Linked DNA regions of Coturnix japonica. The protein of the gene in region 4 purifies or fractionates together with the protein of the main gene of each other region. This does not show direct contact. Links are inferred from orthologs where the notes say so. Each region holds a gene or a part of one and is shown on either strand. Other genes may lie near its edges.

Region 1 (8,249 bases), on a different chromosome or scaffold from region 4:
GAGCACGGAGGTGAACAGAGCTCTTAAAAGCCTGGCTATTCCCTTGAAAGTAAAGCTGTAGCTTGAAAAGTGATTTTGGAGCTGGTGCTATTTGATCATAGAGCAACTCGGTGCATTTGAACATCCTGCTCTCTGTTCAGGCTTTTTTTTTCTATTCCTACTGGAGCTACAAAATTAACAAAGCCAGCAATATTGAAAGCTAGATTTCATTATGCCTTCTCCTTCATCATGGGATAGCTAACTCGGAGCTGCCCCAGCTGAAGGCTGCCATGTTGTATTGAACTGAAATGGATTTCTAACAACTCTCTGGAGATCAAGACTGCTTTTGCAGAGCTGTCAGCCCATAGTACCACCACAGCAGTTTGCTAATCTTGGCCATGAGCAAAGGTGAAAGCAAAGGACTGCCCTGAGGTCTCTCATTAGTACAGTTCCCAACTACTTCACAAGGTTTTCCCCCTAGTGATTTCAAAGCCCTTTGCAATGGAACTGAGCCTTGTTATCTTCTTTCTCCAAATGGGTAAACCAAGGCGCGGTCTGAGAACGCGGTTTGTGTTTGAGGCCATTGATCAAATCAGTGCCAGCACAGGGAATGAGCTGAGAGAGCCTCATCCACTGTTGGGTTCTCCCCCAGGCTGCCTCCTCTAACTCAGACACCATTTGTCTGTACCTCTTCTTCATACAGACTGCATTCCACAAGGTAGAACAACCACCTCCATACCTTTAAAGTGCCTGGGCAGCCAGCAGCATTTTAACCCTCCCACTGCCCTTACACAGAGGGAAGCACTAAGGGCTGCTCGCTTCTTCACAGACATATTAACTTACCATTCATAGAAGGACCCTGTTCTGGGGCCACCAAGTCCCATTCCAGCACTTCCAACCCCACAACCATCCCTTCTGCTATTCAGCCTCTCAAGTCAGTTGTAAACTACTAGTATCTTCACTCAGCCTCACCAGAGTTGATCAAGACAAAGCAAGTTTTCCTGCAAGCTGATGTGAAAGTGCTTCCAGCCCCTGTTATATGCCACTTACAGCATGTAGGCATCCTGCTTCAAGTTGCTCAGGTACCGCTGTGTTTCACTCTTGTACAGGGACTGGTATCTGATCTTCCGAGGGTATTTGTCATATCTGCTGAGATTATAGCGGCCCACACCCACACGATTCTGGAAAGGGAAGGTCACATGTTGTTTCCCTGTCGCTGCAGAGGCTGATACAGTGGAGCAACATTGGGTAGCAGCTTTATGTTGCAGAAAACAACAATGTGTGGAATATCTTAACCAAAGGAGGTCTGCATTGCAGGGGAAGGAGGAGGAGACATGCTATGTTATCTGAGCATGCATTGGGAAGGGCAGAGGTGATGTGGCTGCTGCTGAGCTCCTGTCCCTCTGCTCAGCATCAGCCCAGCTCACGCTGCCCATCTCAGCGCCTGCTCTGCACTGGGTGCCCACAGCTGCAGGATGAGGTTTGTAATCTCACTGGGTGCCAGCAATAGATAGAGACAGTGACAGAGACAAGCTTAAAGCCTGATGGCTCCTGTGCCCCTCTCAGGCTGCCCTGCGCTCACTCACCTCATTCCCCATGAAGAGGCGTTCGGCCTTTTTGTCAAACCTCTTTGCAGACGACCAGAACGGGGGCTGGTTGAAGTTTGCTGATCTCTCAGCAGGCTTTGGATCGTATGAGCCTGGTCCCACCTCAAACTGTGCAGAAGGAAACTTCTTACCCTTCCATCTGCTCTCAGGAATAGCAGCCCCACAGCACTGCCTGGTACCCAACACCACCAGGTGAAACCAGCAGCTTGGGGAGGGTGGAAATGGAACAACACCCCACTGCCACTGACCGCGTCCCTCGGGCACTGGCTGAGCGTGGCCCAGAAGATCCTCTCTGTGGGGCAGCCCGGGTTCCGTGGCATTGTGCTGAAGCAGCCTTTCTTCTTGTTTTCCCTTGACATCAGCTCATCCGGGAACCCCTTGACAGTGACAATGTGCTTCTTGGTGTCTTCCTCCTGCTGGGCCACAGGAGCTGCATGAGGCTCAGCTGCTGGAGGTCACTCCAGACACCCCAAAGACCCCTCGCTGTGAGAGCTGAGCCTTTCACTGCTCACAGACACTCTCTCCTGCTGTGAGGATTTATCTCACCATGCTGCTCAGATCCAAGAAAGCCAAAAAGCAAAACTCAAGATGAAGTGCAGCATAAAGCAGCTTCCATCTTACACATTTGTGGTGGCAGTGACACTTACTGGGACCTCCCGTCCAGGTTACACACCTCCTCATCGGGCCACAAGATGACTGCAGGCTTCCGCCTTTCCACTGGGACCTGGCGGGTCCTGCGTCTGCCCGCCGGTTGCAGCTGCTCCTTGGTGCTGCTCCATGGGGAGTAGGTGCCGGGTGCCAAACCACTGCCCTGCAGGCACAGAGGGAAGATGGCAGGGAGATTTCAAGCAGAGAAACACAGCCACCCCAACAAACACGATCCCAGGGCAAAGAGCAGGACGTGCCGTGGCTGTCAGGAAGACACACTTCTCTGTCCTGCTGTCCATCAGCGCTCGTGTGCTGGCGGAGCGCCTGTCCCTCTCATCCAGGGGAGTGTAGGGGTTCCCCTGGGGGCCGTAGGTGCCAGGCCCAGGGAAGAAATCCTGCAGGAGAGATGGGATGGTTGTGGGCAGCCCCCAGTCAGCTCTAGTGATGGGAAACGCTCACAGGGATGCCAGCAGCTCCCAAGTCAGGCTGCAAAATACCCGCTGTCTTTCTCTGAACCTCTGCTCCCTTGTGTCGCAGATGCCCCTCAGGCTCGAGGGCTGTGTCTCCTGCAGGAAATCCCTGATGTTGTACGTTCCCGGGCCCAGCCTCTCTTGCTGCAGAAGGAAAAAGATGGTAAGGATAGGCTGGGTATCAAAGGCAACACTGCCAGTGCTTCCTGGCCACCCGGACAAGGAGAGTGGATCAAATCCGGCTCTTACCTGTTGTTTGCGCTTCTTCAGCATCACCTTGAACTGGAAATGGGGCAGCTGAATTGCCCGGGAGCATGCCCCTGCTATGGCCCAGCCAGAGGCTGGTGCTGCCCCCTGCAAGGCAGATCCAGAGCACAACTGTACATACACCACTGCCTCACATGCTGGCTTTGTTATCCATCCCAAATTAAGGCACTAATAAATGGTTTTGCTGTTGGGTGGGGAGCATGAGCCCACATCCCACATAGACAGAGTGCTCCCCGCTGGATGCCTCTGACTGCTGTGCCAAGAAGTCATGATAATTCAGGAGCTAAACCAGGAATCCCTGCTCTCCCCACTGTGTGCCCATTTGGTGGCCTCACCCGGCTGCCCATGTCCCTCGCTGCTGGCTCTGCTCACCAGGGCTGCTGTGACAGACTTCACCATGGCAGCCTTCACCATGGCAGCCCTCACCATTGTCACCTACCACTCATTCTGAGCTGCTGTAGCTGTAGCTATACTGGGGGCTCCAGCCTGGCTGCCCCGAGCCCCACAGTCCCCACTGCAGGATCCCTCAAGCTCTCTGGGCCATGTGTACCGGCAAAGCCAAGCAAGTGCTTGGCTCCCACCAGGGATGCAGTGTCCCCCTCCTGGCACCCACATTCCCATGTGAGGTATGACCCGGTTCTGCCCCAGCATTGCAAGAGTGCAAGGGATGGTGTCCCCACATGGCACCTCTGAAGGGTTATACTGTATACACTGAGATTTGTTAGACATTAAATTTATCTCTCCAGCCAGGGACATGGCCAAAATCAGTGCATGACCAGCCCCAGCATCACGAGCTGTGACCCAGAAAGCAGTTGGAGCAGCTTAAAAGAAGCAGCAGTTTTTAAAGCTTCACCTCGGGGCTGTTCTGCTGTCTGACACACATTCAGAGCTGCAGACACACTGAGCTGGAGGCTGTTTCCCAGCTGCCCTGCGATGGTGGCAGCCTGTGCCACCTCTTCCAACTGGAGGAGCAATCCCAAGAAGCACAGGAGGTTCTGTGACAAGCCCCGCAATTACCATTTTATTGGACATAAAAACATCACCCTGGAGTTGTAAATTACAGAAGCATCCCAGGAAGGAATGGAAGCACTCAGGAAGCTCAGCCAGACGGATGCACAAGGCAGTACTATGGGCTGATGGACCCTCCCAGCTATGTAAGATCATGGCCAGGGTCAGCCAGGATGTAGCCAGCGTGACTGGGCCAGGGCTGAAACCTCAGTTTGATCCCTCTGGGCACAGCTGGAAAAGATAAAGAGTGCAGACAGGCTCCCAGCCTCCAAGCTTAGCTCCTCATCCAGCACTGTCTGCTGGTTTAATGAGAGATATCAGCTTTCCCAGCAGACCTTGTCTGTTGTACAGCCTCAAACCCTCCCGCTTAAAACACTGCCCTGCAAATCAATCCAAGATGTTTAGTCTCTTTGATCTGCTCGGCAGGCAGTAAGTCATTGACAGAAACACACTTTGCTTCAGCAGCTCCAGCAGGAGATGGAAACAGTGAAGGACCACTGTCCTGCCCTGCAGATGGACCTGCATGGTATGGGGCGTCCTGTATGACCTGCAGCTCAACTGACTGCAGCAGGGAATAAAACAAGGGAAACCATCACCGGGACAACAGTGCAGCTGCTCTGATAGGAAAGCACCATCCTGGAGCTGGAAACCCGCAGGCTCAGAGCTGCAGAGCTGCGGAGCTGTACGGACAGCGGGGGGACCTCCGCACAGCAGTGGGAGCTGCTGAGCAGCCATAGAGCAGCAGCACTTTCTACTTCCAGGATCAGGAAGGAGGTGCGGTGTGTAACGTGACTTGGGGCGGTGCGAGCAGCTTGGGTTTGGGGTCCGCGTGTATATGTGTGCGGAGCGGGGCGGTACATGCAGGCACTGCCCAGCTGGGACCTGGGGGGACTCAGTGCTGGGGCTGCGGGTGTTGAGGCTGCAGGGCTGCCCAGCACGAAGCAGCACGTAACGCCTCGCTTTGCTGCTCGCTCCCTGTAGGTGTGATGCTGCGGACCGGGCTCCCCGTGCTCAGAGCAGCAGCAGCCCCGCAGCTGCCGGCCCGCAGCTCCCAGCACGAAGCCTCATGTCACGGCCGGCTGCTGCTCTCACAGCTCTTCCAGCCTCTGAACCTGCAGGTGGGTGTTGCTGCAGGGTGCGAGGGGCAGACAACAGAGCCGGGCTGCCGCAGCCACCGGCTGATGCTGCAGGGCGGCCTCATCCACCCCGCCAGCCCCGGCTGCTTCCACCTCCTGCCGCCCGCCCTGCGAGCCATGGAGAAGCTGATCCGCCTGATGGATGGAGCCATGAGAAACATAGGGGGGCAGAAGGTGAACATGCCCAGCCTGAGCTCTGCGGAGCTGTGGAGGACCAGCGGGCGCTGGGAGCAGATGGGGACCGAGCTGTTCCGCTTGGCAGACCGGCACGGCAAGGAGTATTGCCTGGGTCCTACACATGAGGAGGCCGTCACCGAACTGGTGGCTGCACACAGCAACCTGTCCTACAGGCAGCTCCCGCTGCGCCTCTACCAGGTGACCAGAAAGTTCCGGGATGAGCCCAAGCCTCGCTTCGGCTTGTTGCGCAGCAGGGAGTTCTACATGAAGGACATGTACACCTTTGACAGCTCAGAGGAGGCAGCACGTCACACCTATGAGCTGGTGTGTGCAGCCTATAATGGCCTCTTTAAGCGCCTGGGTCTACGCTGTGTCCAAGTGCGGGCAGCCACCGGCACCATTGGCGGCACTGCGTCCCATGAGTTCCAGCTGCCGGCTGATATCGGTGAGGACAGGTTGGTGCTGTGCCCTGCTGGGCACTTTGCAGCTAACGTGGAGATGTTGGATGAAGGGCAAACGGCGTGTCCCACCTGCGGGGAAAAACTCACTCAGAGCAGAGGGATCGAAGTGGGGCACACGTTTTATCTGGGCACCAAGTATTCCTCTGTGCACAATGCTGTCTTTTACACCCCAGAGAACAAGCTCCAGCCAGCAGAAATGGGCTGCTACGGTCTGGGCGTCACTCGCATCCTGGCAGCATCCATTGAGGTGCTGTCTACGGAGGACAGCATCCGCTGGCCGAGCCTCATTGCACCTTACCAGGTGTGCTTCATCCCCCCTAAGAAAGGCAGCAAGGAGGAGCAGGGAGCCGCGCTGCTGGAGCGTCTCTATGATGATGTGGCTGAAGTCCTGCCTCACATGGAGGGAGACATGGTGCTGGATGACAGGACACAGCTGACGATTGGCAAGAGGCTGAAGGATGCCAACAAACTGGGCTACCCCTACGTGGTCGTAGCGGGGAGGAGGGTCTGCGAGGACCCCGCGGTGTTTGAGGTTTGGGATCAGAGCTCTGGTACGGTTCTGTACCTCACTAAGGAAGGTGTCATTGAGTTACTGAGTAAAGTGCAACTCCATTGAGATCCCCGTCTCCAAGTTTATCATCTGTGCGCCTGAACGGCCCGGTTCTTTCTATAGGAGCTGCTTAACAGCTGTGCTGTGGGGTGGGGATGTGTGGTTCAGCACCCCTACGGTTGTGAACACCTCCATGAGGAGGGCAGCCATTTACAGCCGTTTACAGCCATTTACGGCCACTTGCAGCCATTTGCAGTCCTATCCCCATCCCCTCACACAGCGCGATGCCGGCCCGCACCCCACAGCGGGCAAAATGGCGGCGCGGGGCGTGGACATGAACGGGGCCGGAAGGGGAGGGACGGAGCGACCGGTACCAAGATGGCGGACGGCGAGGAGAGCGATGCTGAGGTGCCGCGGTACCTGAATGGCTTCCGTCCCGATACCTGGGAGCAGGTGAGGCCGCGGGGCGGGACGGCGTTAATGGGGCTGGTGGAGGGAGCTGACACGGTGTGCCCGCAGGAGATGGAGGCCATCCCCATGTTCATGAGGCGCTGCCCCGACGAGATCGACGCGGAGCGGCATCCCGAGCTGGCCTGCCTGCAGTCCATGCTGTTCGACCAGGACAAGGAGCCCGCAGGTGGGCGGCAGAGGGGCCCCAGAATCACAGAATGACCCGAGTTAGAAGGGACCTCAAGGATCATGTAGTTCCAACCCCCCTGCCTGGCAGGGCCACCAAACATACACCTTTACTACATCAGGTTGCCCAGAAGACCCCATAGATCCCCATAGAGACCCCATAGATACCCCATAGATACCCCATAGCTGCCCCATAGATACCCCATAGAGACCCCATAGCTGCCCCATAGAGACCCCATAGCTGCCCCATAGATACCCCATAGCTGCCCCATAGCTGCCCCATAGATGCCCCATAGAGACCCCATAGATCAGGTTGCCCATGGCCCCGTCCAACCTGGTCTTGAACACCTCCAAGGACGGGGCATCCACAACCTCCCTGGGCAGCCTGTTCCATCCCTAGGGCTGGTCCCAGCTCCGCTCGTGCCCGCCCCGCAGAGCTGGCCACCATGTACAAGAACGAGGGCAACGCGTACTTCGAGGAGAAGGACTACGGCCGAGCAGTGCTGGCCTACAGCGAGGGGCTGCGGCAGAGCTTCGAGGACGTGGAGCTCCGAGCCGTGCTGCTGTCCAACAGGGCAGCCGCCAACTGCCGACTGGGTGAGCCCTGTACCCCCCTTTGCAGGGCAGGCAGGAGATACGGTTCCCGTGCTGATCTGCTCTCCTTGGCCTGCAGGTAACTACCGCTCTGCGCTCAATGATGCAACCCAAGCGAGAAAGCTGAAGCCCGACCACCTCAAAGCCATCGTGAGGGGTAAGGGCAGGGTAAAATGGCACCAAAGTCCCCCCCTCCTCCTGCCCCAGCTGTGCCAACCTGGGCCCAGCCTTGGCTGCACGCACATCCAGGGATGGGACACTGCAGACAGTACCACTCTGCTGATGCCGTGACTTCTAAAGTACTTCAGATTCTCTCCCAGCTTACTGGACCTGCTGGCAATCTGCAGCTCAGCTCACCCCTCCTGTACAACAGAGTGTGTTGCTTTAGAAGGCACCAGAGTTAACGTTGACTTTATAGCCACTGCTTTGTGTGATAACTGTGTGCCAGCTCCAATACCAGGTGCTTAAAAGCTTTGATCCTTTCAGGAGCTCTCTGTCACATGGAGCTAAAGAACTACTCGGAAGCAATAGCGTGGTGTGAGGAGGGCTTACGGATAGATTCAAAGGAGAAAAAGCTTCTGGAAGTGAGAGCTAAAGCTGACAAATTAAAGGTAAATGGTACAGCAGTCTGGCATTTATGTACTTGTTGCAGGAGTGATTTGTTCTGCTTACTGTTAAGCTAGAAACACCTTGTTTGGAGAGTTCTCCATTCAGGT
Region 2 (7,505 bases), on a different chromosome or scaffold from region 4:
TGACACCAGTACAACCAATCGTTGGTGAGTTATAATCGTTTTATTATAAACGACATCCCAACAGATGCGGTCAACGAATGCAATGGTCTGGGTTCCAAAACAAAGAGTGCCGGCACAAATAGAGCGTGTATATACACTGAGATCAGGAACAGATGTTGAGGCTGAGAAATGGGAAAGCATCGGCCTTTTGTTGCCTGTGTCTGCGATGAATTTCCTCTAGGAAACGTAACCCAGCAGTTCAATGTTTTTATGGCAATTCAGTGCATACGAACCCATGGACACAGCGCTACTCAAGTTCCAAATGCAAAACACATCTGGCTTGTACATTCAGTTCCTATAAAAGCAATTAGCACTTTAATTACCTGCTCGATCCTCTGGCCAACCAGCACCTACTGGAGGAGCTATTTGAACTGCACCCAATGTTAGCACTGGGTGTGCTCCCATATGTATGGCTGCCCACTGAGGTTAGAAAGTACACTCAGTTCCATCCCACACTTGTCCCTGGCCCCTCATGGATTCGACAAAGATCATCTTTCTCTAATGTCTGCTTAGAAATACTGACAAAAGCATCGTCTGCAGAACATTCTTGTTTTGCATAACGCACGTGATGTGGATCCAAGGGTACTATGAAGCTATTCAGAATGATATTTTCTCCTGTAGGTTACCCTTAGCAAACATTAAATGTGGGAGGTGTGAAGGTTCTGAAGCAAACTGGCTGCTCCTGAGAGCTGGGCACGGACAGCCCCTGTTGTTCAGCAGGATTAAGCACGCATGGTTTCACCTCTGCTTGGACCGAAACCGAATGACTCCAGCTTACCCTGAACTGAGATGAAAGATGGCAAAGCGTGTTCTCTAAGCAGTTTTGGAACTGCTTCAGTCAAAGTCTTCGCCTGCTGGGAGGACAAGAACTCGAGCCTTGGAAAGCAACGTTGGTTCTTTCTGCATTACCCAAACATTCCCAGCGGAGCATTACTCCGTAGGACTGGCGATGAATAGAGACTCAGACTCAACAGTTGCAATTCAGTTGCTAGTAAACAGCAAATACCGTCTGCAAGGCTTACAGACCTCAGATCTTTGAACTGAAAGGAATCCAGAAGTAAAACGACATGAAAGTGTTTTTATCAGCCAAACAATCTGTGTCAGCAAAGGACGATTTGCCAAAGTAATGAGCTCACGGCATCACCAGATAGTGCATAATACCGAGGGGCTGAGCTTCATTAAAAGAATAATGGCAAGCATAGTTCTATGAAGGCTTTTCCTTGTACTTAAACACATCCACAGCAGCAGGTCAATAGCAAACATCGTCACACCTGTGTTAAGAAAGGGAATTTGGGGCAACACTGCTGAGCTCTCAGTTCTATAGATACCATAGATACCACTACATATAGATGTAGTCTGTTCTTCCCTAGCGAGCTACATGAAAGGGAAGCGTCCTAGATGAAAGCTTGAGGTGCTGAGGAAACAGCTGTCCATGGTTCTTCTAGCTCTGTGTCCATAACACACACAGGGCACTTGTAATAATGTTAAAACAAGGGACTCTTTGCACGCTTGTTTGAAAACTGCAAATTCATTCTGGCTTCCTGCATGCTAATTTATGCAGACAGGCACAACGCTGTCTGGATGGAATAGGGCCAAAAGACTTTGCGCTAAATATAATGTGAGGGGAAAAAAAGCATCTATCAGTGGCTCAAACCTAACGTAGGTCTGAAAAATGCTGTTCCTGCGGAGTGAGATGGAGGGCTGCATTTAGGCAATTCCATCCCATACCTTCTAAGGAAGGCTGTAAATCTGGTGCTGGAAGAGCAAGCGGGCTTACAAGAAGTCACACCTGTGCAGCTTGGATGGCGTTTACAGGTAGTGCTGACCATGTGAAATTCCAACCTACCACCAATAATCCCTTTCCACACAGCTCACGGAGCACAATCTCTTGCAGGAAGCGAGATCTGAAGAAAGGGCTTCCACAAACACCAAACGGAAGTTGGAGGGTTTAATTTCTTCCATCTACCATTATAAAAGTCTCATCGTCAAACGTTACAGTACATTTACAGCAGCAAAACCCCAACGGCCTCCCTCACATCCAATACAGAGTTGCATTTGAGTCGTACAGACATCAGTTGACACATCAACACAGTGGGAAGCCTGGTTCTCTGGCACGTCCTTTCCCACACGGTGCCTGCATAGCACAGTACAGAGCAATGCTGGAATCCCCAGTTCACATGGTCTGACCGACAGCCCTATAGCTCCAATGTTGTAAATAAGGAGGAAATCTGCCACTGGTTTGTATAACAATCAACAGTTTATTAATGGATATGGTGAAATTGTAGCTATCCACCAAAGATGTGTAAAAAATTGTCATGAAAGTAAAAATAAATAAAGCTGTTTTTAAAATCAGTCTCGTTTTACATCTCGGTTCAGAATGCGACATTTAACACAAAACTGTCATTAAAGTTTTAAAGAAGTCTACTGATATTCGAATTACAGCTTTTATGACGAGTCTAATGAGAACTGAAACTGATTTGGTTTAGGTTTAAAGACTTTCACATTCAAATACAGTGTCTCATTTAACACAATACTTCCTTTGACAGTGATGGGCAACAGTGATGACATATTGCTGTATTTTGACATAAGGCACTATGATATGAATATGCCATACACTTGCCTTATGTCACATATATCCATTGCTGACCAGTGACTTCTGTCAAATACAGAAATGAAAAAGGTTTCAGGATACAGTGCATTTTAATGAAGGACATCGTGTGAAGTCTTCCAGCAAAATGTTCTGAAGACGTTTTGAAACACAAGCCTACATTGTAACATAAGCTTTTTGTCATGCTGCTTTGTTTTATTTTTTGCGACATCACTGGGGGGGAATAGACTCATCATCCATCACTAAGTCCCAAAACACATCCTCACCCATCCTGCTCTGTTCTATTGCAGTCACTGTTCTCCAGACAAACTTGACCCAGAAACTTTGTTCAAGTTCTCCTACAAACGTTTATACATTCACAGCAGTCATTCACTTTCATTCTCCTTTTGTTTGGCACCTGTTAACAGAAGAGGAGAGCATGTGTGATTTCCTTATGCATACAGCACTTGCCTCATGGAACGGCAATTCTCATTCTGAATGCTGCAACTGTTGTCTGCCCACATTACCCGAACCTTAGGACTGGACAGGATCCATAAAGAGCACACTTCAGTACAGCTGAATGCTCACAGGCTGAGGGAGCCTGGAGGCCGTTACTGCCTCTCATTTCATTGGCAGGGTAATTCTCCAAGTCACTCTGCTGGGAAGTTACTCAAACTGCCTTTCTTTGAAGTACCTCTCCCCCAATACACCACGCTGAAAGCCTGTCCTTCTAGCTCCGGAAGCCAAGTTTAATCATCATAGTGCTCTTAAAAAGCAAAGTTTCCCATTAGATCAATGGGATAAAGCAGCTCATAGAAGGATCCCGTGAGAGGGAGCGCTGCCACATGCTAAACACCAGAAGCACATGACCCAGAGTGCAGGAGTGGGAACTCCCCTTGTAACTCCCCTGAATGTTCAGCTCTGTCTCCTTAACCTGGTACTTTGAAGGCAAAACTGTGATCTTAAGACATTTCCTGTCTTAATCACAAAGCCAGAGGACTGACCCGACCAAGTTTAGTGATAGGTCAGAGACTTCTACTGGAATAATTCACTCTGGGGTGATGTCTGACACAGCAAATAGTAACAAAAGACTGACAGTTAAGCACTTTGTTGGCTTTTACCTGCAGAGAAGTGAAACACTTATTTGGAGAGTATAATCAAACTATCATAAATTTAAGGTCAGCAGTGTATTATTGTTATCATACCCGCTAAGACCAGCAAGCTGTAAGCACTACTGAATGACTTATGGCAACATCCATACCTGCTGGTGTGAGTACCAAAGCCTGTAGAATGTCAGAAAGGGAGATGATACCCACAATGCTATCTGCTTCATTCACTACCACCAAACGATGAACCTGTGAGGAGGGAAAAACAGTTTTGAGAGAGTGGAATAAGAGCTAAAGGCACACGGAGGTCTGATGGCAATAAAATCATATTTGAAATGGCAGACAAGCCAAGATCTATGTCTTAAAAGCCTTGCAGAATGGGAGAGTGCCCCTCAGCACTGCAACCCAGCTCAAGCTGGGAGCTGTGCAACCAAAGGGCTGTAGCTGAGCCAACTCAAAGAGGTCATCCTTGGATGGATGCCTAACGAAAGTTGAGAGCTCGGTACTGATTTACTTCTTACCTAAATGAATTTGGACTTCAAGTCTAACTAATCAAACGTAACTGTGAAGGAAGTGAAAAAAACCTTCTCATCCTTTCACAGAAGCGACAGCAAGAAAAGCTGCAGTGTCTCGACTTAATACAGATGGGAATTTATTGCGGAGGTCAACCGCTTCACTGCCGGTCAGATAAAGCAAAAAAGAGGATCTCGAATGTTATTGGCAGAGTCACACTCAGCTGACACTGTGAGGAAACAAAAAGAGTGGGACAGTGGGAGAATATGCTTTGCATTTTCTTTCTGACAGGGCTATGTGTGTATGCACACACTCTTCCTTCTCACAGTGTAATGAATTCAAGGATAATGGACAATGTAGTTGTTTCACATCCAGTGAGATCAAGCATTTGTCTGGCAGCTAAAAATAGCACCAATTACTGCCTCCCCTGTGGCTCTGACTGACTCATTTTTGCATAGCCTTACTATGTTTAGACTGAGCCAAAGGGTAGGAGTTGTTCTGAAAACCCAAACGCCTAAAGCTTCTGAAGATATTAATAAGATCGGCCACGTTTGGAATCTGTGCATCAGCAGTGCTGAAATCTCTGAGTTTCAGGAAGAAGCTCGAGCTGATGCAGGAAGCTGCACGTCAGAATCACCCCATGGAAGTTCTGAGGGGGTTTTTCACAACATGGGAATTCTACTCATAGTAACCACATGTACAGTTATGGCCCCAAGGGTGAAAAAAAAACAGTGTAAAATTGAAGTCATTCACATCCATGTGCAAGAAGGTCCCAGTACAAAAATCATAGGATAAACCACAGAAAAAGAACAGGGAAAAAAAAGCATCGAGTCATTGACAAGTGATAGAACTAGAGGGAATGGATTTAAGCTGCGCCAGGGGAGATTCAGGCTGGACATTGGGAAGTATTGCTTCTCGGAAAAGGTAATCAGGCATTGGGATGCACTGCCCAGGGAGGTGGTGGAGTCACCGACCATGGGAGTGTTCAAGAAACGTTTGGATGTTGTGTTGAGGAATATGGTTTAGCTGGGAAGTATCGGGAATGGTTGGACTAGATGATCTTCTAGGTCTTTTCCAACCTTGATAATTCTGTGATTGACAGGACAATTACAATTTACAGGGAAGGGAAATAAAAAAGGGGGCAAACTCACCTCAGCCTTCACTATCCTATCAACAATGGTCTCCAGTGTTTCCAGCATACTACACTTTACAACACCTTCAAAATACTGAGAGCGGTGCTGTAGGGCCTGTGTCACCGTGATATCTAGGTTATTATAGGTTTTTTCAGCAGCAAGGTTCTGAAAAACAAGGCACACAGCTCACTACTTAAAGTACCCAACAAAGCAAATAGTTTGGCATCAAGTAGACACACATTTCAGACGTAAACCAAGTCTGTTCCAAGTCGCATATTAAACAAAGCAGATGCTCTTCAGTTGTAGTTTTTGGGAGCAGTCAAGCATGCAACTGCATTAGACACCATACTAAAGACTGGATTCATTGATAATAATGTTTTGTAATTATACATCAAGCCATGAAAGTCTTCCTACTTCATTCTCTAGTATTTGGCTTGATGTCACCCATCCTGCTTCTGCCACAAGGAAAAAGGGAAGATGATGTTCTATAGATTTCAGGAAATACAGAATATACTCGAAGAATAAACCATTTGTGTTGTTTTTCAAAGGCCAGGTGAGGACATTGACTGCTCTGAACACCACCCATTGAGTAGATCCTGCTATAGAGATTCAAGCAGAAAACAAAGGGTAGGTGTCTTCAACCTTTCCTATCTGCAGGCTCGAACTCCCTCTCCTGGTCTGTGCTGGAACTACCACTCAATGTACATTTTTACATCTGTTTTATTAAGTACAATCCAAATAACAAAATCAGCCCGTTAGCAAATTAATTTCTAATTGCTCACTACATTAAAAAAAAAAAACCACTTAATAGAATTTAAAAGGTGTACTTACTATTACATCAAATTTGGAATAAATATCTACAACTTTTCCTAGAAAGAAAAATAGGTATTAATAAATCGCTTCCAATAGAAAGTTAGTTTTCTTGTGCCCTGTTTTCATGTGTTATAATGACACAGAGAGAGGCTAAGAAGGAAAGCAGGAAAACAAACCAAACCAAAACCCACCACCCATGATGAATCCTTCCAGGTCCATCAGCATATATCTTACATAATCATTCTATATCTACATATATACATAGATTATACATACACACATACAATATTATACATACTATATATAAACACATAAAATAAATCCAGGCTTCAACAGCATTTATCTTACCACACTTGTGCACAGCAGAATCAACACACACCTGACTCATCCACAACAGGTAACGCTGATATCCTCCTCTCTACAAATATATTCAAGGCTTTAATGATAGGAGTGTCTGGATGTATGAAGGCAATGTTGTGGTAGGTTCCTATTCCAAGTTCATCCAGATTCTTCTTCATAAAGGCAGGCTTTGGCATCTCTGACATCTAGGAAAGGCAGATGGATATGTTTACACAACGCAGTTTCCTGCATGATACACTACTGTTACCAGGTTTTTTATATGTAATCAGGAAATAAATATCCATCCATCCATCTAGAGACCCCAAACAGTAGTTACAGATCATTACAATAATCTATTATTAGATTTACATAAAGCCAAAACACGCCTAGATCCAGAAACATTAATGCTGTTCCAACAAGTTTTAAGTTACGACTCCACATCTTGGCTATTTTGCTTGTCAGTTTATTTCTGTAGTGACCCATCACTAAAATCTTTCGATCCTAAGCTATGGCATTCCCAGTTAATCTGAAAAAAGAAGGCATCAAAGATGTGGGGTGCTGCATGCTCATTTTGACATCCCTCTGCTTTGCTTGGCCTCCTGTCCACTCCTGTGACCAACACACAGCACAGCAAGTTGAGTTAAGCTTGGTTCTAGGAGATGAGTCATTATTCTGCTTCTGTAATCAAACAAGCTCCCGAAGCTGAGATCATCCAGAATATGACACCAAAATACTCAAAAAGCCCTGACGTATCCCTGGTGTTTTTGTTTGGAGAGGTCTACCTGGGTTCGGGGTGGGCAGAAGACAAAAAAAAAACAGTTAAAGCAAAGCAGAACTTCAAGTACTTACAAAAAGCTGGAGGAACTTGAGGATTCTTTTATGGGTAAGTATATAAAGTGCATTTCCACTGACGGGATCTATAACTGGCAATCTGTGGATTTTGTTTTTGATCAATGAATATACAGCATCAAAAAG
Region 3 (7,505 bases), on a different chromosome or scaffold from region 4:
TCATTAATGCTATCATTTCAGAATATCTTCTGTATTAGTAATTTAATCTTTAATACATGGCCTTGGTAGCAGTTTTCTAGTGATCATTGCACTAAATAATGGTTAGCTCTAAAAGGGGCTGGGAAATGTATCCAAAAGCAGCAAGACTTAAACAGTGCAGGGTTTGTTTATTGAAACACTGCTCTTGCCATGTGTTGAAGGTTTTGTCCTTAAATATAGCCAAGGAGGAAGCGTTAAGTGAAATAAACATGGTACTGTTTTTCATATGCTGTCTTTCCTCTGAAGGATATATATGTGCCAGTCTAAAGATGCATCGACTGCATGTTGCTGCTTTGGGGTATTGCCAGAATTGCAGGAGCTCTTTTGATAGGAGTTGGCAGTAATCGCACCTTTATGTTAACATTTCATACGCTATTGAGAGAAATTTCAGCCTGCCTGCAGGAATTACGGCTGTGTTAATTATCTCATCGCTTTCAAGCTTTGTGGGACACTGTAATGAGCTTAAGAATATAATAAGCAATTTATTTCTTCAGCTGCATAAAATCACTTTTTTTTTAACAGCTGGGACTTTTTAATGCAAGTACTGCTTTCAAAAGAAAGTAAATTCTTGAGCCATGTTTGATAGTTTTCAGGGAAAACAGGAAGAGTACACTTAGTGCAGTGATGCAGCTGAAGTTGAAGCCACATTACTGAAAGGCTGCAGCTGAACGCCCTACAAAAAATACCTCATGCCCCATGTTTTACCACTTCAGTTCTTCCTAAAGTCTCCCATATTTCTCTACAGAGGAGTGCATGGACATAGTCTGGATATGGGAAATGTTGGAAGGAAAAGGAAACGCTGATCCTCAACGGAGGATAGTTTGGATTTCCTATGGCCAGTTCTAACCAAACAATTTAAAGTGACCATGAGACTGGACATGGTGAAGTGACTGAAATAGTCACGTGTTTAATTTCATAATCTGGACTTGGTTGTTATTTTTTACAGCAAAACATAAATTGGAGATGGATCAGTACTTTGAGTTTCTGATCACTTGTTTATTGAAGCATAATTTCAGGAATCTGATGTGAACAGAGATGATTTTAAAGTCTCCCTGCAAAAAGAGCTGGCTTCCTAACATACTTTCCAGACATATGTATGTTTCCTAGAGCAGAGGTATTTTTGTGGTTAGCAGTATATTAACAAAAGATAGAAGCCAGGGTAGGAACGCAGTTAGGTAAAGCTTCATAAATCAACTTTGGCTGCGCTTTGCCATGAAACACAGAAGTGTTTTGTGTTTTTTTTCATTTCAGAATAGAAGTTTAGTTGATCGCAATATGTTTTAATGTGTCCCAAGTTGCAGACCTTTAAAGGCATGGCCAAGCACTTCTTTGCTTCAGGTTCTTTAAGTGACTGATGCTTATCCAGAATTGTTTAAATACTTGCATAAACAAAATAATTGAAATATAATTCCGTTCGGTGTGCTCTGAGGAGTTATGAAACTGATTTTACTTGCATTAAAGTGGATACTTGCTATTGAAGCTAGTATTTGTATGTTTTGTTCAGGTTTAACTATCTGCAAGGTGGACGCTGATTTCTTCTTAATTGAAGATTTTTGTATTGTTGAAAATTACTTTCCTTTTTTACATTCAATTTTTGCTCTTTCCGTAGATCTGTTGTTTACCAACAGAGTTCTAAAGAATCTGCTACGCTGCAACCTTTCTTCACCCTGCAGCTGGATATCCAGTCTGACAAGATACGCACCGTCCAGGATGCATTGGAAAGTTTGGTGGCAAGAGAGTCTGTCCAGGGTTATACCACAAAAACCAAGCAAGAGGTGTGTTCTGTTGACTTGTTTTTACAGTCAAATATTAGAAGTTCTTTCAAGGGTTTTTACTCAGCTCTTGTTTTACAAATAGTTTCTTGAACTCGTACTCCTGGTGTTAATAAAAAAGGTGCTAACCTTCTTGGTGTGTTGCAGCAGTAGAACATAATACATTTGAATACATACAGTGAAAGGCATTCAAGGAAGAGAACCAGCTCTTAAACAAAACTGTGCTTGTAAATTAGAATGTTTTCTGAAGATTTTACTTGAACATATTAAATTAACAGGGTAAACTGTGATAATAATATGTACTATTATAAGTAAAATGGCTTTAGCTTGTCTTAACATACTCATTCCTGAGGATTGCCAGGACTCTTAAACATAAAATCTGGTTTATGTTTTAGAGGCTGCATAGAAATGCAAGCATTAGGTCTTTCTTTTCTTAAGAAGTTGTCAAAAGAGCTGTTCTTATGTTACAAATTATAGTGAAAACACTGAACACAATGAAAATTACTATGTACAACATCCTGAAAGCCAAAATCTGTTGTGAAGAAGCATTTCATCTTCATTTTCTTTATGGGGAACTCAGAAACTGTTGAAGCTAAAAAAAAAAAAAAAAAGTCTTATTTAATTACTCTTGTTTTTATTCTGACTTTTTTAGATCTGAATTGTATTATTATCAAGTTGTGGGCATAAGCCGTAGTTACAACAATAATCTTCCAAATGCATGAACGATTTCTTAGTTTATTTTTCTAATCATAAGATTTTTGTGTTAATGTAAGTAGGAAATAATCAGACTCTCATGCAGTGTTTGAAAATAAATAGGTGTTTTATGCAGGTGTTTGAAGAGGAATGACATTCTGTAGGCCATTCTCATTCTTTTTTGGTCTTGCAGATCTGTTTAAGTCTTGAATGTTTCAACACCAAATACATATAAAAGCTTAATTTTTAACTAGAAGTGGCCTTTTTCTTATTTGCAGACCTGTTCGCATTTTGTAGCAGTAGTGAAGACTTGAGTAAGAAGCTAGCCTTTCCTCATTTACTTTTCCTGCTTACCTTCCACAAACTCCTTAGGAGTCTTCACATTCTCTGTAGTTCTCAGACTGCTTCTTGAGGCTTACACAAATATTTTCTTGGGACTCTGCTCAGTGTTCGCTAAGCAAATGTTTGGAGCACTTCTTGCTGGTGATGTTGCTACCAGAAACCAGGTCCCCTGGTGGTCAGGGTAGCAGGTTGTGTGCTGGGTCCACAGCCTGGCACCAGAGCACAGCGCTGCTGTGATCTGCGATCTAAGCTGAGATTCTTGGTGAGGCACAGCTGAGTTGCAGATGCATGTTCCCAAACACTAGCTCAATGATTGAGAGAGGAGAACAGCAGCTGCTTGAACCACTGCATTGGTATTCTTCTGTGTCTTCCTATCTTGGTCTGGGCTTGGACCTGTGAAGCATTTGGGGTTGGTTTGTTGGTTCCTCACAAAATTGAATTCAGATTTTAGATTGAGAAGACTCAATTCCAGGAAAATATTCAAATAGTGATAATTGTCTGAATCAAGAGTAGTTTCATTTATATAAAGCCTTTCCAGATTTGCTCCATGAAAACAGCCGCTGTTCCATGCTAGAACACATGCAGTATGCAAACTCTCCTATGTTCATAGGAGAATTGTGTGCACCTCTTGTCGCATCTTCTCTTTCAGAGTCTGCCTTAGAGCTTCTTTTTTCTGCGTGTTATTCCTGGAAGATGGATGGGTGGGTGCCAGCAGGCACTTATTGAGTGGAAAAGAACAGGGCCCTGTTTGGCCTGCAGGTTTAAAAAAACAACAAAAAGCACACAAAACCCCTCTCTTGAGGCTCAGAGAAGCTGCCACTGTTGCCCAGTGGTTAGATGGTTTTTGGATGCAGAAAGGCATATTTTGAACCCTTAAGATGTAGGTGAAGTTTTACAGTTAGTAGAGACTATTTCTGTTTCACATGTTAAATTATTTCTTGTAAAAAGTATCAGCTCAAATCCTTGAGGAAATCGTGTACCCTACAAAACCTGCTTGCTTCAGTATCATGAGAGCAATAAATTTTAGTATTCAAGCTTAGAAGAGTTTTTCCTCAGGATTTTCTATTCCATGCTCAGTAGCAGAAGCAGATCCTCTGTTGGAATACAGTATGCTGATGATTTACCATAAAGAGGATACAGGTGATTTTTTTTTTTTTCCTAATCTGGAAACTTAGAGAAGCCTAAATCAGTTACTTGGAGAATTTTTGGTTTTAGTTCAGAATTTCTAGGAAGAGGAAGCATTTTTGTTCTGCAGTTTGGAGCCCAGTTTTACATTTCCAGACAGTAACTTTTTGGGCTACTTGGATGTAACTATATAGAAGTCAGTATTTAGTAAATAAATGTGGCTTTAACTCATAGTTTTTTCTCTGTATTTCCTTCAGGATCTTTACAGAACCTGGTATACCTTTTAACAAAAGAAACATCATTCATTACCGAAACCCTCCATAACTCCTGACCATCGTGACACTCGTTTTTAGATAGCTTATTTAACAGCTCACTTTGTTTTTCAAGGGAATTCTTGAACATCAAGTACCTCGTTGATTTTAAATTGTTTTTAAACTGTTACATTACTAGTATCTTACTGTCAGATATCATAAGCTGTGTTATAAACTGCCTTACGCTGTGCAGACTTTTTTCTTTGTGCGAGTGTCTCTAAAATCAAATACTTCTTCTTTTTAAGTAGCAATTCTGAGCAGTCAACAGAAATCATTTTTAATTCGTCTTTTTCTGTATTTTTAGGTGGAGATCAGTCGAAGAGTGACACTAGAAGAACTCCCCCCTGTCCTTGTTTTACACCTCAAGAGGTTTGTTTATGAGAAGACGGGCGGATGTCAGAAGCTTATCAAGAATATTGAGTATCCTGTTGATCTGGAAATTAGTAAAGGTAAAGATGTCTTCTTTAACAGAAGTTTCCCCGGTTTTGGGAAGGGGTAATGTTAACTCCTTAGCTTGTTGTACCTGTGTGTTTCAGTTCTCTTCTTTGCTTCCAGCTTTGTGCACAAGATTTCTTCTCCATGGAGGGTATTGCCACCTAGAAATGTAGTAGTTTTGCTGAATATCTTTTCTGAAGGGAAAAAAAGCACAAAAAGAGTATGTTTAGGAATCTGGAGATTGAGCCTTGACAAATCTGACATTGCCTGTATATCAGCTTGAAATAAGAATATTGTGTATTTCTTATATCAGGCAAAGAACTTTATGGTGAATGATCTTATAACCTTTGTCACATCCTAGACATTGAGTTGGCCACGTGAGAGCTTCCTGCAGACGTATGGAGTAATGTGGTAGGCTGATGAGGACAAATACTAGGAATGACCCCTGAATGAAGGACGTGTCCATACTTAGGGCTGTTGCCAAACAGTGCTGTGTGTTTTTGTGTCAATTTCAACCTAAAATTGATAGTTGTATACATTTTAGATGAGATTTCTCTGTTTATACTAACGTTGATTTCTGTTAGAAATCTCTGTTAAAACTGAATTTCTGAATTTACTGACTGTTGCCTTCATGACTCTTTTTCCTTCTCCAGAGCTACTGTCTCCTGGTGTGAAAAGTAAGATTTTTAAAGGCCAAAGAACCTACCGGCTCTTTGCAGGTACTTTATCTATATTCCTCATGTCCCTGTAGTGCAAATACCAATTCTACACGTAGAGTTCTAGAAACCTGGATTGCATAATATTTTCTTATTTATTACAAAATTATTTTAAAGTTAAAATAGTTTATGGGTGTCAGATTCTCTTATTTAGTGATATATTTTATTTTTTTTTTCATGCTCATATACCCCTGTAATGCTGCATCTGTATTTATATGCTGACTCTTCCAGCTTGAAACTCACACAAAAAGTTCTTCAGTAGATCCACATTAAAAAAGCAAATAGATGGGAAATTGATAGATAGGTAGATTGAGTCCAACCACAGCCCAACCATCCTGCCCTAACTGACAACCCTCTACTAGGTTGTGTCCCTGAGCACCAAATCCAAACAGTTTTTAAACACGTCCAGTAATGGTGACTCAACCACCTCCCTGGGGAGCCCATTCCAGTGCTTAACAACCCTTTCTCTAAAGAGGTTTTCCCTGATATCCTACCTAAACTTACCCTGGTGCAACTTGAGGCCATTTCTCCTTGTCCTGCCACCAGTGAGAAGAGACTTTATAGTTTTCTTTAATAGACTGTTGTGTAGATTGTTCAGATTTATTCTTTTTTCAGTGAATTGCTTAATGCTTTATGGCACTTTTCATTGTTAATTTACTTCAGTGTCCTTCAGAATCATTAGATTTGGTATGTCGGAGAGACATTACGTAGTACTGCCTGGTTGAATCATGGGTATGTTATGAAGAAAGCAGAATGTGACTTTTATTCTGTGCTTTTATGTGGCAGTGGGTATTCATAGAATCACAGAATGGCCTGGGTTGAAAAGGACCACAGTGACCATCCTGTTCTAACCCCCTGCTGTGTGCAGGGTCACCAGCCACTAGACCAGGCTGCCCAGAGCCACATCCAGCCTGGCCTTGAATGCCTGCAGGGATGGGGCATCCACAGCCTCCTTGGGCAACCTGTTCCAATGTATCACCACCCTGTGGGTGAAAAAATTCCTCCAAATATCCAACCTGAAACTCCCATCTCAGTTTAAAACCATTTAATGTGTAGCGTACACACGCATCACAAATTTCTCTTTTCACAGTTGTTTATCATCATGGCAACAGCGCAACTGGTGGCCATTACACTACGGACGTCTTCCAAATCGGGCTCAACGGCTGGTTACGCATCGATGACCAGGCAGTGAAGGTGATCAACCAGTACCAGGTGGTGAAGCCGTCTGCAGAACGCACAGCCTACCTCCTGTACTACCGCCGAGTTGACCTGCTGTGAAACTTCTCCTTCTTACGCTGTGTGTGCAAGATACCTGCTTTGTAGAACGCCAACTATCACTTAACTTTTTTTTTCCTTCTCCTGTAAATGCTCTTCTGAGTGAATCTCTTTTTTTTTTTTTTTTCTTTTCTTATCTTTCTTTTTCCCTTGCAACTATGGGATAGAGTGAGAAAGGAAACTACCCTGGGTTTGTGCACAACGTAGTTTGCGTTGACGTTGACTTAGCAGAATGGAGTCGCTGGGTTGAAAGACTCGAGTCTCGTGAATCACAAAAATTACAAAAAAAAAGAAAAAAATTAAAAAGAATAGTTTAAAAAAAAAAAAGATACTGAATTAATGCTGAATCCTAAGATAATAAACAAGGGATTTGCATTTGATTCCCACTTTCTAATTGCGTAGTAGAAAAAAAACCCTGCACCAGCAACAGAACTTGTAGATTTCTGTGAAAATGTTTTATCTTTACTTAATTAAAATAAAAAAATAAGAAAAAAAAATAAGAAAAAAAAAAAACGAAAAGCGCTCTCTGCTCTCCCCCCCCAATAGTTTTTGATAAGTGAGTAAAATATGAGCCAATGTGTATGAGATGGAGGTGGTCCTGCGTGCTTCGAAAACGGACAGACGTACCAAATGCAGAGTTGCTGGTTCCTAATAGGAAGACACGTTTTAATAATTGTGTGATGAGAAACTGCTTAAGTACACATTGCAGATCAACTATTTGGAGTTAAGATGTTAGTCTATATAGATGGGTGATCGTAACTTTATTGCTATTATGAAATTTCAAACTGCATTTATGC
Region 4 (7,992 bases):
AAGGCCCACTAAAGTAATGCTTATTAAGTGGGTCGCTGCTTTGTGGGGTAGGGTGGGGCAAATTACTCTAAAATCTGGAGGGATTTATTGCCAGGAAAAAAAAAAGAAAATATGCTGTAGTTGAGACAAGAGTTACCCAAACTGTCTGGGAGGATCAGACCGGAAAGGTGAGGGAAAAATAGGTAAGTTAAGATGGGTGTAAACAAGTTCATTTTGGTTATGGAAAACATATTCAAAAAAACTTGGGTAGCTCATAATGGGCAGTGGAAGTAAGCTTTGCTGAATCTACTTAGGCACTTCAGTTCTTAGTGCTTCTTTCACATACTGAAAACTGAAAATGCCTTGGTGGTTTCTTTAGTATGCAAATAATCTCTTGTCAAGGTGGTAAAATAATCCTAACTCAAGAGTTACTGGAATTGAGCCTCTTCTGTGCTCTCTAGTATACTCTGTGTTTATAGAAATGCTAATGTAGGGTCCGTAATACCATTTTTGCTTCCCTCTGACTGACAGATAAAGCAGTTAATCCAAGAGACTGTTAGACCGTACAGTCTAAATTACATGAGAAATTATTCCATATTAGTTGAAGCAAGAATCCTGTTTTCAGGTAAAAGCATATCAGTTTATCTAAATTAAAAGTTTCTGAAAGTCAGCGTTCAAGTAATGTCTAGCTCTGAAAGTAACATAACACCAGAATTTAAAAAGAAAGGGGTCTGTGTCAGCTTGATGTGGGGGTCAGAGCTCTTCTCAGCATATGTCTTGTAAGCAGGAATTCTGCTTACTGTCATAGAGCAGTATTTCACCTGTGTTGATTCCTCTGGTAAAAAGATGATAAAACCTGACAATCTGACACAGCTATTGACTGCATGGTGAGCCATAGTTAACAAACAGCTAATAAGGAATTAGTTTAAATCCATAGTTCTAGGTTTACAGTAGAATGATTTTGCTTATGTGTTGCAGTCTATAAAAGGTAATGCAAACCCTGAAGATAATAACAATGATTTTAAGACCTAGCAGAAAGTTTTCTGCTGCTTGGAGCAAATGGAGCCGAGGCCCCGCCCCGCCGGGGAGAAATGGCGGCCCCTCCCCACTCCGCCCACGTCTCTGGGGGACGCCGAGCTGCGTCCCATCGTCCATATCAGCCCCCTTGCCTTGTGAGGTAGTAAAGGAGCAAAGGGAGTCAGTCAGAGATTATGGAATTCTGTATGCCTTTACATAAATCTTTTGGTTGCAATTGGTGACAGTTATGTTTTGATGACTGGAAGATTTTGATACAGATGATCCTCTCTCCTGTGCAGTTCACTGTGTTTATGACTGAGTACCAAGAGCAGGCTGCCATCTGGGCTATGAATAATTTGAATAACTGAAATCATATTGGCATAGAGGAAATCGTGGGGGAGGGGGTCTGGGTAACACCTCAGGCCCAGGCACAGACATATAGACAATGTCTTGAGCAAGTTAAGACTGTGGTGTTGTGTGCTGTCTGTTGGACACCTGATACTAATTTGTCTAATGCCTCATTTACATCAGTTAAGCAGGAGGCAGCTGAGCCCTACATTATATTTCTTGACTGTCTACAAAATATGCTACTGAGATGAGTAGAAAATCAAGCTACCTGGGATGCTTTGCTTAAATAATTAGCAGTAGAAAGCGCATATATGGACTGTCAAAAGGTTTTACAATCCTTAAAGAATGCAGATCCATCCATTACTTATGTGATTAAAGCCTGTCAAGATGCAGGCACAGAAAGCCATAAAATGGCCTTGCTGGCAGAAATGCTGGCAGCCCAGCTCAATGCAGGGACAGATCAAAGAATGAAATAATACAATTGTGGGGACCCAGTTATGTACAGAGGGACCATAAAGTACCTAAGCAAGCAAATAAAAATGCTCATGCTGTTCCAACTCGACTTTGTCCCCAGTGCAGGAGGGGGCTCCTCTGGGCAAGAGAATGCTCATCCAAACTCCCTGTTGCTGCACAGCCCTGTGATCTGCTGGGAAACAGGAAGAAACGTGCAAGACCGCATGCTGTGACAACAAATACAGTCCTGAATCAGCAAGCCACTGCCGGGCCAGCTCACTCAGACCAGCCACTGCTGGCAGTGCAGGAGTGGATTTGGCCACTGCCCAGTCAGTGCCGCTGATGGACAGCACCATGACTCTCATTGCAGCAGGTTTAGAAGTGATGAGAGAACTTGTAATAAACACTTTGGATCATTCACATCTGAGTCCATGCATCAGACACTGCATTAGTGGGCTCCACTTATATTTTGTTGTTTGTTTTGAGCTGTTGTTTGTAATAACATAGGAGAAAGAGAAGAGTGCAGCCTTCTTAATATTGCTAGGAACTAAGGCCTATAATGCTCTAAATTTTCTTGAGAATTTGACATGTAATCCATTCTGTCAACAACTAAGGAACAGTTTGGGAAATTATTTTTAGCAATTTTGTCAAATATCTCCATTCTTACCATACACTTCTCTCATGTCCAGGAAATACTGGTAGACTATTTCAGGTTTTTTGCTCCAGTATTTGCAGCTGTCACCTGTTTCACGTGCAAGTGAGCAGCATTAAATTCTTGCAGCCAAACATTTGCATTTCTTCAGCTTTTATCAACTAGTCGTGATTCTCTCATGGTTTCTTCCTTGGGTGTTTCTCAGATGAGAGTCTACCTTCTGTGAGAGTGTTTTCAAAATACAATGTCTACCCCTCGTGCTTACTCTTCTGCTGTTGGAGATGGGATAAAATGTCATACCGTAAAAAGTTTATATAAACATCAAATACCTTGTAGTGTCAGTACTTTGAAAGCTGAGGCTTCACTGGATTACAAAAAAAAGTACATTAGCACCATGCTTGTACTTGCTAATAGCTCTGAACTTCTGCTTTTCCTTAAGGATAGGGGATGCCATTTACAATTATGCAGAACAGAAGGAAATCACATGGGTACAGATGGGAACAAAGCCTGATGCTTGTTCTTTTCCTCCCCCAATGCAATGTGTGCCTGAGGATTTGTTAGGAGCTGATGGGCCCTGCTGCAGAAGACAGGAGGTTCTGCTGCAGAGCTCAAAACTAGAAAAAGAGCAACAACCAATTTTCTTCACTTTCTATTCTTCTTTTCCAGTTACAAGGACAAAACAAACAAACAAACAAAAAGACCATAACAATGTAATTGAAGCACTGAACATGAGCTGTAATAAAAAGTAGAATTTCTGTCTTTAGACAGTATCCAAAGGGAGTTTAGATAACATCCCCGAGTTCAGAAGTTGGCACCTTTACACATTAACAGGGGATTACTGAGGACTACTAATACCTTTTTGTCCTGCATCGTATAACATCTTTTATATGTTTGCGCATGTTAAAGAGTTTACATGTCATGTAGTGCTGGCTGAAAGAATCTCATTTTCTCAAACACGATCCTCATGAAAATGCTTGAAATTCAAATTCTAAATTACTCAAAAATCATTAGTTTTATTTTCCTTGCTTTGACTGTTTTACCATGTAAAATGTTACTTGAATGATACACAAATTTTAGCAGGGTGCATATTAAAGTAGTACCTACGATTTTACTGGCCTATGTTTTGCCATTGGCTGAACAAATGACACCCTCACCATCTTTGCATCCCTCCTGTGGACCACGGTGTGGACCAAGCAATTGACACTCTTCTAATTCCATCTGTTTATTTGAAGGCAGGATTGGAAAGCAACTTGAAAATAATATTTGCAGGCAAGAACAGCTGTTGGTCTGCAGTATGTAGGAAGCGGATCCAGGCAGGGCAGCAAGCAGGTGAAAGAAGAGGACATCTCCCACAGCACTCAACCCGGAAGGATTATCTCGCACCGCCGGAGCCCGAGTAGCAGAAATGGTTGGCGGGGGCGGAAAGCGGCAATAGAGGAATAGTGTCTGAGTTCCGGGGGCCGGCTGCGTGCCGGAGCTCCTCCTCGCCGGAGGCCCCGTCCAACACCATGCGCAGACTCGGCTCTTGGCTCAAGATGGCGGCGGCAGATAAACAGAAGCACGAGCACGGTCGAGTGAAGATTGGGCACTACATCCTGGGTGACACGTTGGGAGTCGGCACTTTCGGCAAAGTCAAGGGTGAGCTGTTGCGCCGTCTATTCCATTTGGGTCGGGGCTGGGGCAGGTTTCCCGCTGGGACCCTCGCTGGGGTCGTACGGGGGCTGCTGGGGCCCCGGCCGGAGGCTGGGCACTGTCAGGCGGAGAGCCGGGCGCTGTGTCGCGGGGTGCCACAGGGCTGAGGGCTGGGCTCCGGGTCCCGGCTCGTATGGCCGCGTTTGGTAGCTCTGGCTGTGAGGGGCGGCCTGGCCATGGAGGCGGCAGCGGGCATGGCTGGGGCGGGGCGGGGCGGCTCTCCGGACGGGGGATTTCTCTTCCGCGTTGGCAGACATCGTTCCTGGAGAATTCCTGCGTGCGAGTGTGATCGCATCTGTAACGGAGGTGGCCGACGTTCAGGCACACCTGCCCGCGGGATTGCGTTTTGTCCCTCAAATATTTGCCGCCCTTAAAAGGTCAGCGAGCTTTCTTGCTTCGCAAAGGGCAGAGCATTAAACCAAAAAAAAATCCTGAAATTATTTGACTAACGAGCTCAGCTGCTGACACAGCTGTGTGGGAATTCTTAGTGCTGAGGCTGGTGGTAACTGAAGTTTCTCTACAGCTCTCAGCTCAGTTGGTGGTGAGAGATTATGGTATAAGAAAAAGCTTGTCCCGTTTTTATTCAGCTAGGATTTTCCTGGAGTTTGTGTGATGTGGGTGGCTTTGCCATGACTTCAGCTGATGCGGAGCTCATTTCCTTCATAGTATCTGCTATGATGCCATGTTAAATCAGGTTAAACCATGACAGTCTTCTTGGAAGAGGGTGTTTAATGGCAGTGACAACCCCAGAAATCAAGTGGAAAAGCAGATTTGTGAGTAACTATCAAAGGTTTCCCGCTGTTCAGCAAGCTGTCAAATTAATTCACCTTTTCACTTGGTGTTTTAATATCACAGATTGTTGTTGCTGATCTGATGTTTTGCCCATGTAACTCTTAATTTGGCTCTATAATCCTGACTTAATTACTGACTTAGTTCATCTGTCTATCTCTCAGATAGGCATTCATAGAGAAGACAACTGGTTCTAGCATTCTTTTTTGCCTTTCATGTCCAGGCATAGCAAAAGTATCACTGACATGAAAGGTGAAAAAGACTGCTGGAAGTAAATGAGTTTTGTGAAGTACATTCTCACTTCAATTGTACAAGCATTTGGCATATAACACTTATTCTGACCTCAATGACTTTGGATGTTGGGCAAAGCTCTTTACAGAGGGAGTGCTGAGAACAGGCTGCTCAGGTTGGTGGTGGGTGCTCCATTCTTGAAGGTGAACATCTTCAGACCCAGGTTGGGTGGAGCATCTAGTTCCAGACCTGGAGGAGGTTGGTGGCCCTGCCTGTGGAAGAGAGGTTGGAACTTGATCCTTAGGGTCCCTTTTGACCCAATCCATTCCATGATTACTATTATAGTGTTGCCTTTTGAAAAAAAATGGTCATACCTTCTGCTGAATCCAAAAGCAGAATTTTATTTCCAAGTGTTTCAGATGGTTAGATTTCATGAAAAGAGGAGTAGTCAGACGTCTGGTAATTTTTAGTGAAACTGAGTATACTGTTTGTGATTGTAGATACAAAATGTTTGTCCAAGCCTTGAAAACAAGGCTAAGAACTGTGATCTGCAAAAATGATTTAAACAGGCCTTGATGAAATGTGGAGGGGAATAGTGAATGTAAGTTTGCTCTCTGTTGTCTATGCACAGCATTAGCTGCTGTTTTTGCTGTTTTAATTAATTAATTAATTTATTTTTCCCAAGTTAGTAACGATATTATCTTAATTTTAAAGAGTGCTGCTCTCTACTGAGCCTTGGCTTGGATTGTTTGTTTCTGTCAGTGTATTTGTTTACACGTAGTCATAGAATCATTAAAGTTGGAAAAGACCACTAAAATAATCTAGTCCAGCCATCAAATGGGGCAACATAAGAGTCTGCTCCTGCCACTAAATTTCACCTTCTGTGGTCTCCTGCGTCAAAGATCTTGTAAGTCTAATGCTTGTGGTATGGCCAAGTGAGGGCCACCCTGCAAGTGCCAGGTCTGCTAGACTGAGGCTGTATAACTTCATGTGATTTAATAAAGCCCAGGGTTTAGTGAGAGCCCCCTCTGCACTGCACAGCTGTGTATTTCTGTTGCTTGTACCTCCAACTGCCTTCCCATTGCAGAGGGCATCCAAAGAGATGCCTCCTCAGTGTGCCCATAACTGGTACCTACATCTCATAAGGACGTCATATTTCCTGTGGTTTGGGGTTGTTTTTGCCAGTATAAGGCTTGAATTTAGACAAATGTTTCTGCACTTAAGCAATTGAAATTGTTGCTGAGGTTGTTGCAACTGTGTCTTTGAAAACTTGTTGCTGTGCCTTCAAGTTTCAATATGACTATGCAATTTGTATTAGTGATAGAACATGAGGAAATGGTATCAGGTTGCACTGAAGAGGTTTGTATAGGATATCACGAAGAATTCCTTCCTTGAGAGAGTGGGCAAGCATCAGAAAGGGTTGCTCCGGTGGAGATCCCATCCTTGCAGGTATTTAAGTGGATGTGCCACTAAGGGACATAGTTTAGTGATGGACTTGATAGGTCAGGTTGATAGTTGGATCTGGTGATCTTGAAGTTTTTTTTTTTTTTCTAGACTAAATGATTATCAACCTAGAGTATTATCAAAGAATAAAGAGGGGTATATTAGCTGTACAAAGGGAACTTTCTATGCAGTGCTTTTACTTTCTAAGACTGGTAGAGTACTAAAATGATTAACTTGATTAATTTAAATATATTTCTGGATTGTAAGCCATCCCTTTTGTAGATAAAACTTATGCTAAGAGGTAATACAGAGTAGCTTACAGAAAGATAACACTGGCTTCTTGGTTTTCTATGGGCTGTACATGATGTTATCATCTGAGGTCTTGCTTTCAGCTCCATTCTTGTGTTGAAGAATAGTCAGCAGTCGCAATATACTTCAAACTGCTCCATCTTAAGGTTAGTTTGTTCTTAAGGCATGCAGATATCTGACTGCTTCTTTGTGGAATTATGGATCAATTCTCATGTGAGGCACATGCAGAATAATGTTGCAAAGGTACTTTACTGTTGTGAAATACAACAACAGATCTTTTAAAATTCACATCTTTTAAGGGATGTAGAAACACTTGCATTTGCTGTTACATAAGACAACAAAGTGAATATTACTTTTGTCTGGGAAAAATGATTTTTTCTGAGAAGAGTGCTGTTTAGTATTTAAAGCACAAGATCTGTTGTGGTTGTCTGGTGCTGTGTATACTCCATGGATTTGCAAGTCAGTCTTACTTCATGAAGGGGATTATTGGAAACTCCAGTCTTAAAGCTAGATTTCATATAACCTTAAACTTGAGGGGGTGGGGGGGGGAAGTGCAGAGGGGCAGAAACTACTGAAGAAATATGTAGTATATCTGTGATCTGTTATGGCATTTTGCTGGGAACTTTGTTGTGGTCTTTTCCAAAAGCACCTGCAAACTTAAGGAATTTAAGAGATGTAACAGTCTAGAGGACATTTTACGCTACGAACTTCCTCTACAACAAAAATTCTTCTAGAAGTGGGAAGAAACTTAGAAATGTAAGAGATTGCTTGCTGTAGTTAACACTGGATTCTATTTTGTGCATTTTTTCTATGTTTTGCCATTTATACAATGAAGCTCTGGTGTGATACACCTCCTTACTATGTGAAGGTGAAACTACTATAACTGCAATTTCAAGATTGGATACTCTTAGCAATAATTCCAATTGCTGAAACACGCTTCTTGAGGGAAAGGAAGCTGTCATGTTATACTAAGAGCAATGTTTGCTGACTGAGTAGAAAAGCTGCAGGGAGAGCATGCCTGAGAGGATTATCAAGTGAGCTCAGATTGACTCATACAGAGAAATGAAATTGTCTTCTTC

What was found.
Region 1: the proteins of PRKAA1 (region 4) and PARS2 purify together in Homo sapiens (affinity purification with mass spectrometry; 3 studies listed by BioGRID and IntAct, with this or other methods). This does not show direct contact. The link is inferred for Coturnix japonica from reciprocal best matches to the Homo sapiens genes PRKAA1 and PARS2.
Region 2: the proteins of PRKAA1 (region 4) and PRKAG2 purify together in Homo sapiens (affinity purification with mass spectrometry; 8 studies listed by BioGRID and IntAct, counting the BioPlex papers as one, with this or other methods). This does not show direct contact. The link is inferred for Coturnix japonica from reciprocal best matches to the Homo sapiens genes PRKAA1 and PRKAG2.
Region 3: the proteins of PRKAA1 (region 4) and USP10 purify together in Homo sapiens (affinity purification with western blotting; 3 studies listed by BioGRID). This does not show direct contact. The link is inferred for Coturnix japonica from reciprocal best matches to the Homo sapiens genes PRKAA1 and USP10.

The regions. Positions count from the first base shown.
Region 1 is NC_029523.1:22,553,440-22,561,688, reverse strand, and holds PARS2 (probable proline--tRNA ligase, mitochondrial), read left to right. Parts: upstream 1-2,848; 5' UTR 2,849-2,953; coding exon of another isoform or gene 2,954-3,058; 5' UTR 3,059-3,306; coding exon of another isoform or gene 3,307-3,318; 5' UTR 3,319-4,753; exon of another isoform or gene 4,754-4,767; intron 4,768-4,960; 5' UTR 4,961-4,965; coding exon 4,966-6,369; 3' UTR 6,370-6,371; downstream 6,372-8,249. Other genes in the region: LEXM (lymphocyte expansion molecule), read right to left, coding at 1,030-1,160, 1,566-1,694, 1,835-2,002, 2,260-2,397, 2,492-2,629, 2,732-2,848, 2,954-3,058, 3,307-3,318; TTC4 (tetratricopeptide repeat protein 4), read left to right, coding at 6,682-6,756, 6,823-6,940, 7,324-7,536, 7,613-7,690, 8,020-8,144. UniProt on the Homo sapiens protein: Mitochondrial aminoacyl-tRNA synthetase that catalyzes the specific attachment of the proline amino acid (aa) to the homologous transfer RNA (tRNA), further participating in protein synthesis.
Region 2 is NC_029517.1:5,603,335-5,610,839, forward strand, and holds the end of PRKAG2 (5'-AMP-activated protein kinase subunit gamma-2), read right to left. Parts: coding exon 7,380-7,505; intron 6,737-7,379; coding exon 6,571-6,736; intron 6,248-6,570; coding exon 6,210-6,247; intron 5,544-6,209; coding exon 5,397-5,543; intron 3,982-5,396; coding exon 3,888-3,981; intron 3,045-3,887; coding exon 3,013-3,044; 3' UTR 2,275-3,012; downstream 1-2,274. UniProt on the Homo sapiens protein: AMP/ATP-binding subunit of AMP-activated protein kinase (AMPK), an energy sensor protein kinase that plays a key role in regulating cellular energy metabolism.
Region 3 is NC_029526.1:14,994,845-15,002,349, forward strand, and holds the end of USP10 (ubiquitin carboxyl-terminal hydrolase 10), read left to right. Parts: intron 1-1,648; coding exon 1,649-1,814; intron 1,815-4,586; coding exon 4,587-4,731; intron 4,732-5,370; coding exon 5,371-5,436; intron 5,437-6,523; coding exon 6,524-6,711; 3' UTR 6,712-6,983; downstream 6,984-7,505. UniProt on the Homo sapiens protein: Hydrolase that can remove conjugated ubiquitin from target proteins such as p53/TP53, RPS2/us5, RPS3/us3, RPS10/eS10, BECN1, SNX3 and CFTR.
Region 4 is NC_029547.1:11,812,172-11,820,163, reverse strand, and holds the start of PRKAA1 (5'-AMP-activated protein kinase catalytic subunit alpha-1), read left to right. Parts: upstream 1-3,778; 5' UTR 3,779-3,957; coding exon 3,958-4,087; intron 4,088-7,992. UniProt on the Homo sapiens protein: Catalytic subunit of AMP-activated protein kinase (AMPK), an energy sensor protein kinase that plays a key role in regulating cellular energy metabolism.